Ovis aries: one gene and its partner. The protein of the gene in region 2 interacts with the protein of the main gene of each other region in a biochemical or structural test. Links are inferred from orthologs where the notes say so. Each region holds a gene or a part of one and is shown on either strand. Other genes may lie near its edges.

Region 1 (3,812 bases), on a different chromosome or scaffold from region 2:
TGAATGGACGACTCAATCACCCAACTGAGTTCTGAGTACTGACTGCACACAAGTTACCATTAACGGCCATGGGAGATGAAAAAGATCAGTAAGACGCATGTTCCCTGCCCTCATCAAACTTAGACACGTCCCTCTCCTACTCCTATCAAAGAGGAAATGCAGGATGGAGTACTGTTGCCCATGAGTTAAGACCACAAAGTCAATGTCATTAAAATCCTGTCCCCCCTCAAGGGATGAAAAGCCTTCAGGTCATCCACAGCATGTCTAGACGCTGGGCCCCATTCCATCCATCACTGTCCGAAATACATGCCGCAGCTGAGCCTTTTCACGGTGCAGCTAATGCAGTCCTGGGGTCTCACTGGTGATGTTTCACTAATGTTGTAAATTGTTACTGAGGAAATGTACCCTGGGTGTGAACGGCGTATTACAGAGAACTGAACTTACTTTTTCTTCTTGCAATCTTTCCTCCACTTGTTTGGAAGCTACTTCATGAGCTCTGAAAAGACTGATTGTGCTAGTTAGTTCTGGATCCAGAATGTTCCCATCTTCATCTCTCACCACCAAGTCCAAATCGAGGATTCTAGAACAAGAAGAATTCAAAACTTCACCCACAAACTTCAGTCATCCATTCATTCAGCAAAAGAAACTGAGCAAGATGAAATCAAAAGTCAGAGTCACTCTCACAGTATCAGAAAACATAGTTCTGTGAGGTCGCTGTCATTTGAACTTTCTTTGTATGCCCTTGGAATTGAGAAAAAAAAAAAAATCTTACTTCCATTGCTCTTGTGACTTTTACTCACAGATCTAGAAAGCCCAAATGAAAGGTATGTCGCTAACTACTACATGATCAGTACGGTCAGTTAAGTGCACACACGCTATGCACATACTGGGTGTGTGTGTGCATATAAATTTGTGGGTATGTATACACGGCCCCATGCACACCCATATGCCCAACTATATACACAGCTGGAGGTCGGGGAGAGGTGGGAGGGAGGAAACGCTGGAACCGAGGCATACTCACCACTCTCTCTGGTAGGTTCCATGGCACTACTTTCCTTCTACCTAGAATCGCAGTTCTAATCCCTTAATTAGCCTATCAGAAGATTTTCAATAAAGACGTTCTACTGTTTCAACATGGAACATATGGAAGTCATCCACAGCAATGTTAAGAATCTTCCTGGCCAGATGGCTAAATGTAGTAGCCAACTTAAAACACAGGCAGCATCTGGCTAATAAATCTGTCCATCCTATATCTGGAAATGTTTTTTGGCAACAGTCTCTCCGTTTCCTGTTAGGTGGTTTTTACCAGGATTTTATTTAAAGAATAAACAAAGGCGACTATATAAAGTAAGAAACGAAGAGGTTTACTACCAGCGGTGTGTTCTGGTTAGCTTTCAATAAGACACGAGGATCTTAACCACAGATGCCTGTTACTTTGCCTTTGGGACTTTTCTTTTTATTAAAAGTGTGTTGTTGTTCAGTTGCTAAGTCATGTCTGACTCTTTGTGACCACATGGACTACAGTGCACCAGGCTTCCCTGTCCTTCACTATCTCCCAGAGTTTGCTCAAACTCGTGTCCATTGAGTTGGTGATGCCATCCAACCACCTCATCCTCTGTTGCTCCCTTCCCCTCCTGCCCTCAATCTTTCCCAGCATCAGGGTCTTTTCCAACGAGTCAGCTGTTCACATCAGGTGGTCTTCAGCATCAGTCCTTCCAGTAAACATTTAGGGTTGAGTTCCTTTAGGATAGACTGGTTTGATCTCCTTGCTGTCCAGGGGACTCAGAGCCTTCTCCAGAGCCACAGTTCAAAGGCATCAACTCTTCAGTGTGCAGTCTTCTTTATGGTCCAACTCTCAGTAGCAAATTTTTTTTTTTAACCATAAGACAAAAGAAAACATCTTTTGAAATTAAGATAAATTCAATTAGAGAATGTCTTTTAACAGTTACAAGTCTAAGAGTTGACAAACGGACGTTGCAAAAAAGCCTCCACTTAGACGAACTCATCTCCTACCTCTCTTCTGTGAAGGCCACACGCCTTAAAGCTCTGTGTGGATGAGTCTGGTAACACGTCAAGCAGGTTTAGTTTTGTGAGTTGTGCTGGACCACTGCACTGTATTTACGTACGGTGGATTTGAGTTCCTTGGACAAAAGTCTGTCTTGTTAAGGACTGCATTTCCTACCCAAGTAATAAATCACGTTTGGAAATACTTCCTTTCCTAACGAGATTATTCCATGACATAATGTATTTTGGTAGCTTCCCACAGCCAAATCAAGCAGGTGGTTTCTGGACGTAAGTTCAAAACATGATACTCCAACAGAAAATAAAATCAAAGCTCCAGGAGTTTAGTTTTCAAGCAGGTGGTCTTGAAATGAGTTTCACTGCAACAACATCTAATATCCTATACCCAGCAGCCTCTAGGTTTCTGCGGGGGCGAAGGGAGACCTTCTCCTGTAGTTAATCCAAACAATACATCTTACTAATAATGTAGCTTTTAGAAACTTTTCACACTTGAAAGTTTGAATTACCAGAAAGCAGAATTGTTATAATTCTGATTATACAAAATGCCTTCTTTAGTTTTTCCAGGGCTTCCTTGGGTTGAATGGCTCAGGGCAAAGCTGTCCTATTTTCTGAGCTTTATACTCTAACATGTAAAATGAGGGGGTTGGACTGAACCACTAGCTTCCCAATGTGCCAGCCATCATGGTCCAAGTCTATTTTTACAGACAGGGATTTCCAGTAAGCATTCCAGACGTGACAAATCAAGATCTTAAGGAGTGGATCCCAGTATTCTGTATTCTGAAACTTTTCCAAGTGACTGATATAGACCAGCATCTGGGAACCTTGTGACCACATACTTTTTAAGGCTTCTTGCAGCTCTGGCATTATACGAACAAATAGCTATCCAGTAGGAAAGGGTGTAGCCTCCTTCTGGTTACGGAACCTGGAAGGCCTGAGATGGCTGTGCTGCAGGAAAGAGTGCCAACACCAGAGCATGCACCGCGATGGGTGGGCGAGCGCACCACAGCTCACAGCATTGAAGCAGAGCTGGGTGGTGCCCTGCTGTAAGAGGGAGCTTTTGCATGAGACCTGCTCCTGTAGAACAATTATATGATCTTTATATCAGAAGTACAAATTTAGGGGGCTGGATTTTTTTTCCCCAGAAGCTCTCACAAAAGCCCTAATCCAAAGCACTGGTGCAGAAAACCTTACACACAGAAAAATCACCTTCCCGATAAAACGTGCTTGGCTGTTCAGACAGCAGTGATGCTCTCAGAGTGACATGGTAAGATGCCAGTGACCTGGACACAGCACAAACGTGTGTGCCACCTCAAACGGGAGGCTCCTTATAAACTCAGCTTGCATCTCCTCCAAGGTCTTCTTTTGGAGTTCTACCTGATCTTACCACCAGTTTTCATTCGAATCCACTGGGGAGTGAGACCACTCTGCTTCTGTGTCTTAGCCAGGCATCACCCGATCCTGAAAGTCTTGTGAGAAGACAGGGCGAGGAGCAAGTTCAACCAGACACAGGATAACAGAGAAAAGAAAAAGAGACTTGCTGGCTTTATTTCTATTTGCCGGATCCCTACACTGGTGACAAGTTTTCAGGTGCCCTTTGAGGTCTCTTCCCACTTTCAGGATGTGGGATTCCACAGAAAGAGACCTGATGCCTATTACTGCACAAAGTACCCTCACATCTGGACTCAGGGTCGAATGCTGTCAGCAGAAAGGAAAAGGCCCTGTCGGGGGAATTGCTGTGATGGGGACAGGTTACCCCATCTTCTTGAAGAGAGTATGTTTTAACAATGACT
Region 2 (4,481 bases):
TGCCCCCTACAGTGGAAGCGTGGAAGTCCCTCCTTTCAGTCTATAAACAGAACCTGGGGCCCAGAACAGACGCAAGTGTTGAGGCTTCAAAGTGCACTACTGGGATCTCAAAAGTAAACTGGCTTTGACAGAAAGCAGTGCAGTATAACAGTGTCAGCTCTCAGGCCACAATTCCTAGGTGCAATTCTGGCTCAGTTGCTTACAAGCTGCGTGACTTTGCGGCACTTTACGGTATCTCTGACTCTGTTTCCTCATCTATAAAACGGAAATAGTTTAATAAGTGGAGGTCATAGTACTTTCCTCACTGGACTGTTATAGACAGTAAATGAGACAAGGCATATAATGTACTCAGCAAAGTGCCTGGCACAGAATAACCAGTCAATAAATGGCAGCTATTAATACTGTATATGCCTCTCTAAAATTCAAGAAATTCTTCTGTGTGGCTTCAAAAGAAAAGAGCTTCATGGGGGGAGGGGGAGAACAAAGATTAAGTAATCTTTACAAAGATAGCAACTGAATCAACTGTCCTATGCAGAAAATAGGGTACACGGCAGAAACAAAAAGGACCACAATGCCCATGAACTTTCCACACCCCAGCCACAAACTCTGGCAATCCTCACCTTCTCTCTGGGGCCAAAGATCTGAATTCATATCTGTTAACGAAAAGGTGGAGCTCAACATTAAGGTAACAGCTGAGATTAAAGTTATTAACACCAAGACGTGGGGAAAGCTCAAACAAAGCTGTGTGTTAGGTCGCATCCAACTCTTTTGCAACCCCATGGACTGTAGTCCGCCAGGCTCCTCAGTCCATGGGATTCTCCAGGCAAGAATACTGGACTGGTTTGCCATTTCCTTCTCCCAGGGATCTTCCCCACCCAGGGACTGAACCTGGGTTCTCCTGCACTGCAGGCAGATTCTTTACCATCTGAGCCACCAGCAAAGCCCCTGCTGCTATTTCCAAATTTTTCAACCAACAAAACACACAGAAGGTTGGGAACTTGAGTTTCAGTGACTGTCTGCCATCATGTCACTGCACAGTAATGCAAAAACCCAGACATCATGAAGGTGGTAAAAAGTAGAAAATGTTTGGTTTAGAGTAAACACATTCCCACCTCATGTTATAATGCTATTAAACCAACCAGGCTGAGAAAGACCTAGAATAATTTGTAAGCTTTATGATCCCTACGCTTTTTTAATTGGTATGTGTTAACAAGAGATTATCCCATTTCATTTCTGGTCAGAGAGAATAACCCTAAATTAGGACTCTCCTAAAAGAGCAAGTCTGCAAAGGCTGGTTCCGGAGTCTCTTAATTCAGGTGAGATTGGCCTGAATCTAGTCTCACGTGGTCAGGATTAAACTGCTTCCACCTGGAACAGCGAGGTGGCACTAAGACTCTCCGTACTGTTACACAGATAACTGTAACCTCAGAATTACTCTGTATACCACAAATCTCAAGTACCAAGTGCACAAATCCCCTTAACAACTCCAGTGGCCTGGGTGACTGTCATATCTCAACCTTTAGCAAGGAAGATCCAGTGCAGATCATTTAAACTTTCAAGAGAGTCACTTCAGTGGGATCTGTTTTCAACATCTAGAAGACTCAAGCCACAGCCCTCAACTTACTGAACAAGGAGAGGCCCTGGAGGACAAACAAGACTGATAACGTTCGAGTCCAGGGAAAAATGAACTTCCATTCACTTTCAGGGAAGGGACTGTTTCCACTGGCTTATTTCTGAATTATTTCCTGAAATATAAAAATAAAAATCTTTCCTCCACTGATTGCTTTGAAAACTATAACCCCCCTCATTGTGGAGAACAGTCTCTGGAAGCTCAGCTCTCTTGGACACAGTCAGCCGGACATCAGCTTATTCAGGGTTGGTCACAGAGGCTTTTCTTCTATAACCAAGGCACTTAGCTCACCACCTTCATCCTCCGCGGGGGAAGAGGAAGGTAAAAGTATTTTGGAAAAATGCCCAAGAAAGGAAAAAGCTGACCGGTTTCCTGAGGGTGTCTCCATCCCTCTCGGCCAGTATGTGGTGACTTCCTACCAAAGGCCACCAGGGGAGTATGGCCAAACCCGGCTTTCCAACACTGCAGGAAATGTTTCAAGCCTAAAAAGCCACTTGTAGGATTATCGGATTCATTCCCGGCACCGCTGCCAAGTGATGCCCCGCAGTGCCAACATCCTTCTCAGCTCTTTGTCCCCACGTTGCCCGGCTGTGCTCGGGCGCTAGCCCCACCCTGGGGCCGAGGCAGTTCCCCTTCCCCTGGGCTGTCCTCCCAAGTCACACCCAGAGGCCTGGGTCAGCGGCTCCTCCTCCCCCACACACTCGCGCTGGTCCGTGGGAGCGAGCCCCGGCAGAAGCTGCGCCCCGGCCACGCTCACTCCAGCCCTCTGCCCACGTCCCTCGTGGGGGTCAGCTCTCGAGGCGCAGCCAGCCAGGCTGGGGAGTTCCGCGGCCCTCACCCCCGCCCCGGGCCTCCCGTCCCGTCCGTCCCTCACCGGGCGGAGGCTGGGCGGGCGACGGTGGCACCGGCGGGCGCGGGCCGCTGCTGTTGATGATGTAGTGGGAGACGCGCGAGTTCTCGGAGACGCTGAGCACATAGTCCCCGGGGCTAGTGCTCGAGTCCCGCACCAGGAACACCCCGTGCCGCTGGCCCTGCAACAGCGCCACCGCCTCCTGCCGACTCAGCCGCCCCCAGTACCAGCTACTCCGCTCCTCCGAGTCGAAGTTGCCCGCCATGGCCACCTCCGTGCCTACACGCTGGGCCGCCGCCGCCGCCGCCGCGCGCGCCCCTCCAGCCCCGGCCCCCGCCGCCCAGCGGACCGGCTCGGGTCTCAGCCTCACAGCAGCGCCCGAAATGGCGGCGGCGGCCGCGGGCCTTCCCCACCGGAAATGACGTGCTCCTGGCCCCCGGGAGGATGCCGGGAAGGGAACCACCGCCCGCCATTGGGAGAAGGGCAAGTGACAGATCGTGAGCGCACTGCGCATGCGGCCTCTTGGGCGTCGCCGCCTGGCTGGGACTGGGACTGCAGAGGGTGAGGGGGAGTCCAGGACCGAGGGGCGGGGCTTCAGCTACCAGTAGGCTGTTGGCGACGCGGTTCTTTGCTCCTCCAGGTTTCAAGTTACTGGAAGGCCCAGGCTTCTAGGCAGCGACTAGGGTACAGAATTAGAGCAGAAAAGGTGATGTGGCCCCAGGGCCTGTGTTTCCTGAGATTGTCTTTTTCTGATGGTTCCTCCAGCTTCTCCCCACGCCTGCTGAAGTTCTTGTTTTCACTGATTCATTCAGCAAACAGTTGACACCACATTTGCCCCGAGGGTGCAAAGGTCATCAAGGGCGAGCCCTTCCCTCACCGAATTCGCAGACCAGTGGGAGAAACCAGGAAACAGTCTTTGAAGAAGGCGTGCCAAGTGATACGATGGGGAAGGGGCAAGGGGCTTTAGGAACACATAACAGAGCCCCCTAATCCATTCTGTAGGGGAATCCAGGAGGGCTTGCACTGAATATTGAATGGCAATCAGGGAAGAGCATTCAAGACAAAGGGGACAGAGTGTGCCAAGCCAGGTGGAAGTATGGAGTTCCCTCTGTTTAGGCTCTCAAGACACCTACCCAGACTCTCTAAACTCTAACTGTGGCCATGGGTAGCCTCGGCTCTCCCTGCTGTCAGGACCATTTATACCTTTACATCCCATATCTATTTTTGTATTCCTGTGACAGCCTGCTCACTGGTGTTCTATAGTCTTGCTGCCCTTAATTGTATAGCACACATCTGCCAGTTTGCACTTTCTCAATTATAGCTCTGAGTCAGCTGCTATTCTGTATAAAACTTTTAACAACCTCCAGGTGTTAGAACTCCCCATTTACCTCACAGCATACAACCAAGCCACCGTCTCATCTTCACCACCTCTACATGAACCTTGTGTTTCTTCTCTCTGGAATGCCCCTCCACTCCTTTTGGGATCTCAGTGACAAAAGTCTCCCCTTTCCTGACCATCACATCACTCCCTCTCTGTATGTACAGCCCTATTTCCTTATTATCTTTATTATGGTTCTTAACCACTGTACCGTAATCTTTCATTTACAAGTCTGTATGCCATGGTAGACCTCAAAGGCCAAGCATCTACTGTAGGAGGCACTCCATAATCATTTCGTAATAACAGCTAACATTTATTCAGGAAATAGTACCTGCCAGGCATAGTGCTAACTGCCCTTAGATGGATCATTTCATTTAATCCTATCAACAACCTTATGGATTGGTCCCATTTAACCAATGAAGCTGAAATGATGCTGAAGCTGAAACTCCAGTACTTTGGCCACCTCATGCGAAGAGTTGACTCACTGGAAAAGACTCTGATGCCGGGAGGGATTGGGGGCAGGAGAAAGGGACGACCGAGGATGAGATGGCTGGATGGCATCATGGACTCGATGGATGTGAGTCTGAGTGAACTCCGGGAGATGATGAACAGGGAGGCTTGGC

What was found.
Region 1: the proteins of CRK (region 2) and DOCK1 form a complex in vitro, tested with the Homo sapiens proteins (3 studies listed by BioGRID and IntAct, with this or other methods). The link is inferred for Ovis aries from reciprocal best matches to the Homo sapiens genes CRK and DOCK1.

What each region holds. Positions count from the first base shown.
Region 1 is NC_056075.1:45,934,625-45,938,436, reverse strand, and holds part of DOCK1 (dedicator of cytokinesis protein 1), read right to left. Parts: intron 581-3,812; coding exon 445-580; intron 1-444. UniProt on the Homo sapiens protein: Involved in cytoskeletal rearrangements required for phagocytosis of apoptotic cells and cell motility. Along with DOCK1, mediates CRK/CRKL regulation of epithelial and endothelial cell spreading and migration on type IV collagen.
Region 2 is NC_056064.1:22,477,742-22,482,222, forward strand, and holds the start of CRK (adapter molecule crk), read right to left. Parts: upstream 2,901-4,481; 5' UTR 2,746-2,900; coding exon 2,505-2,745; intron 1-2,504. UniProt on the Homo sapiens protein: Involved in cell branching and adhesion mediated by BCAR1-CRK-RAPGEF1 signaling and activation of RAP1.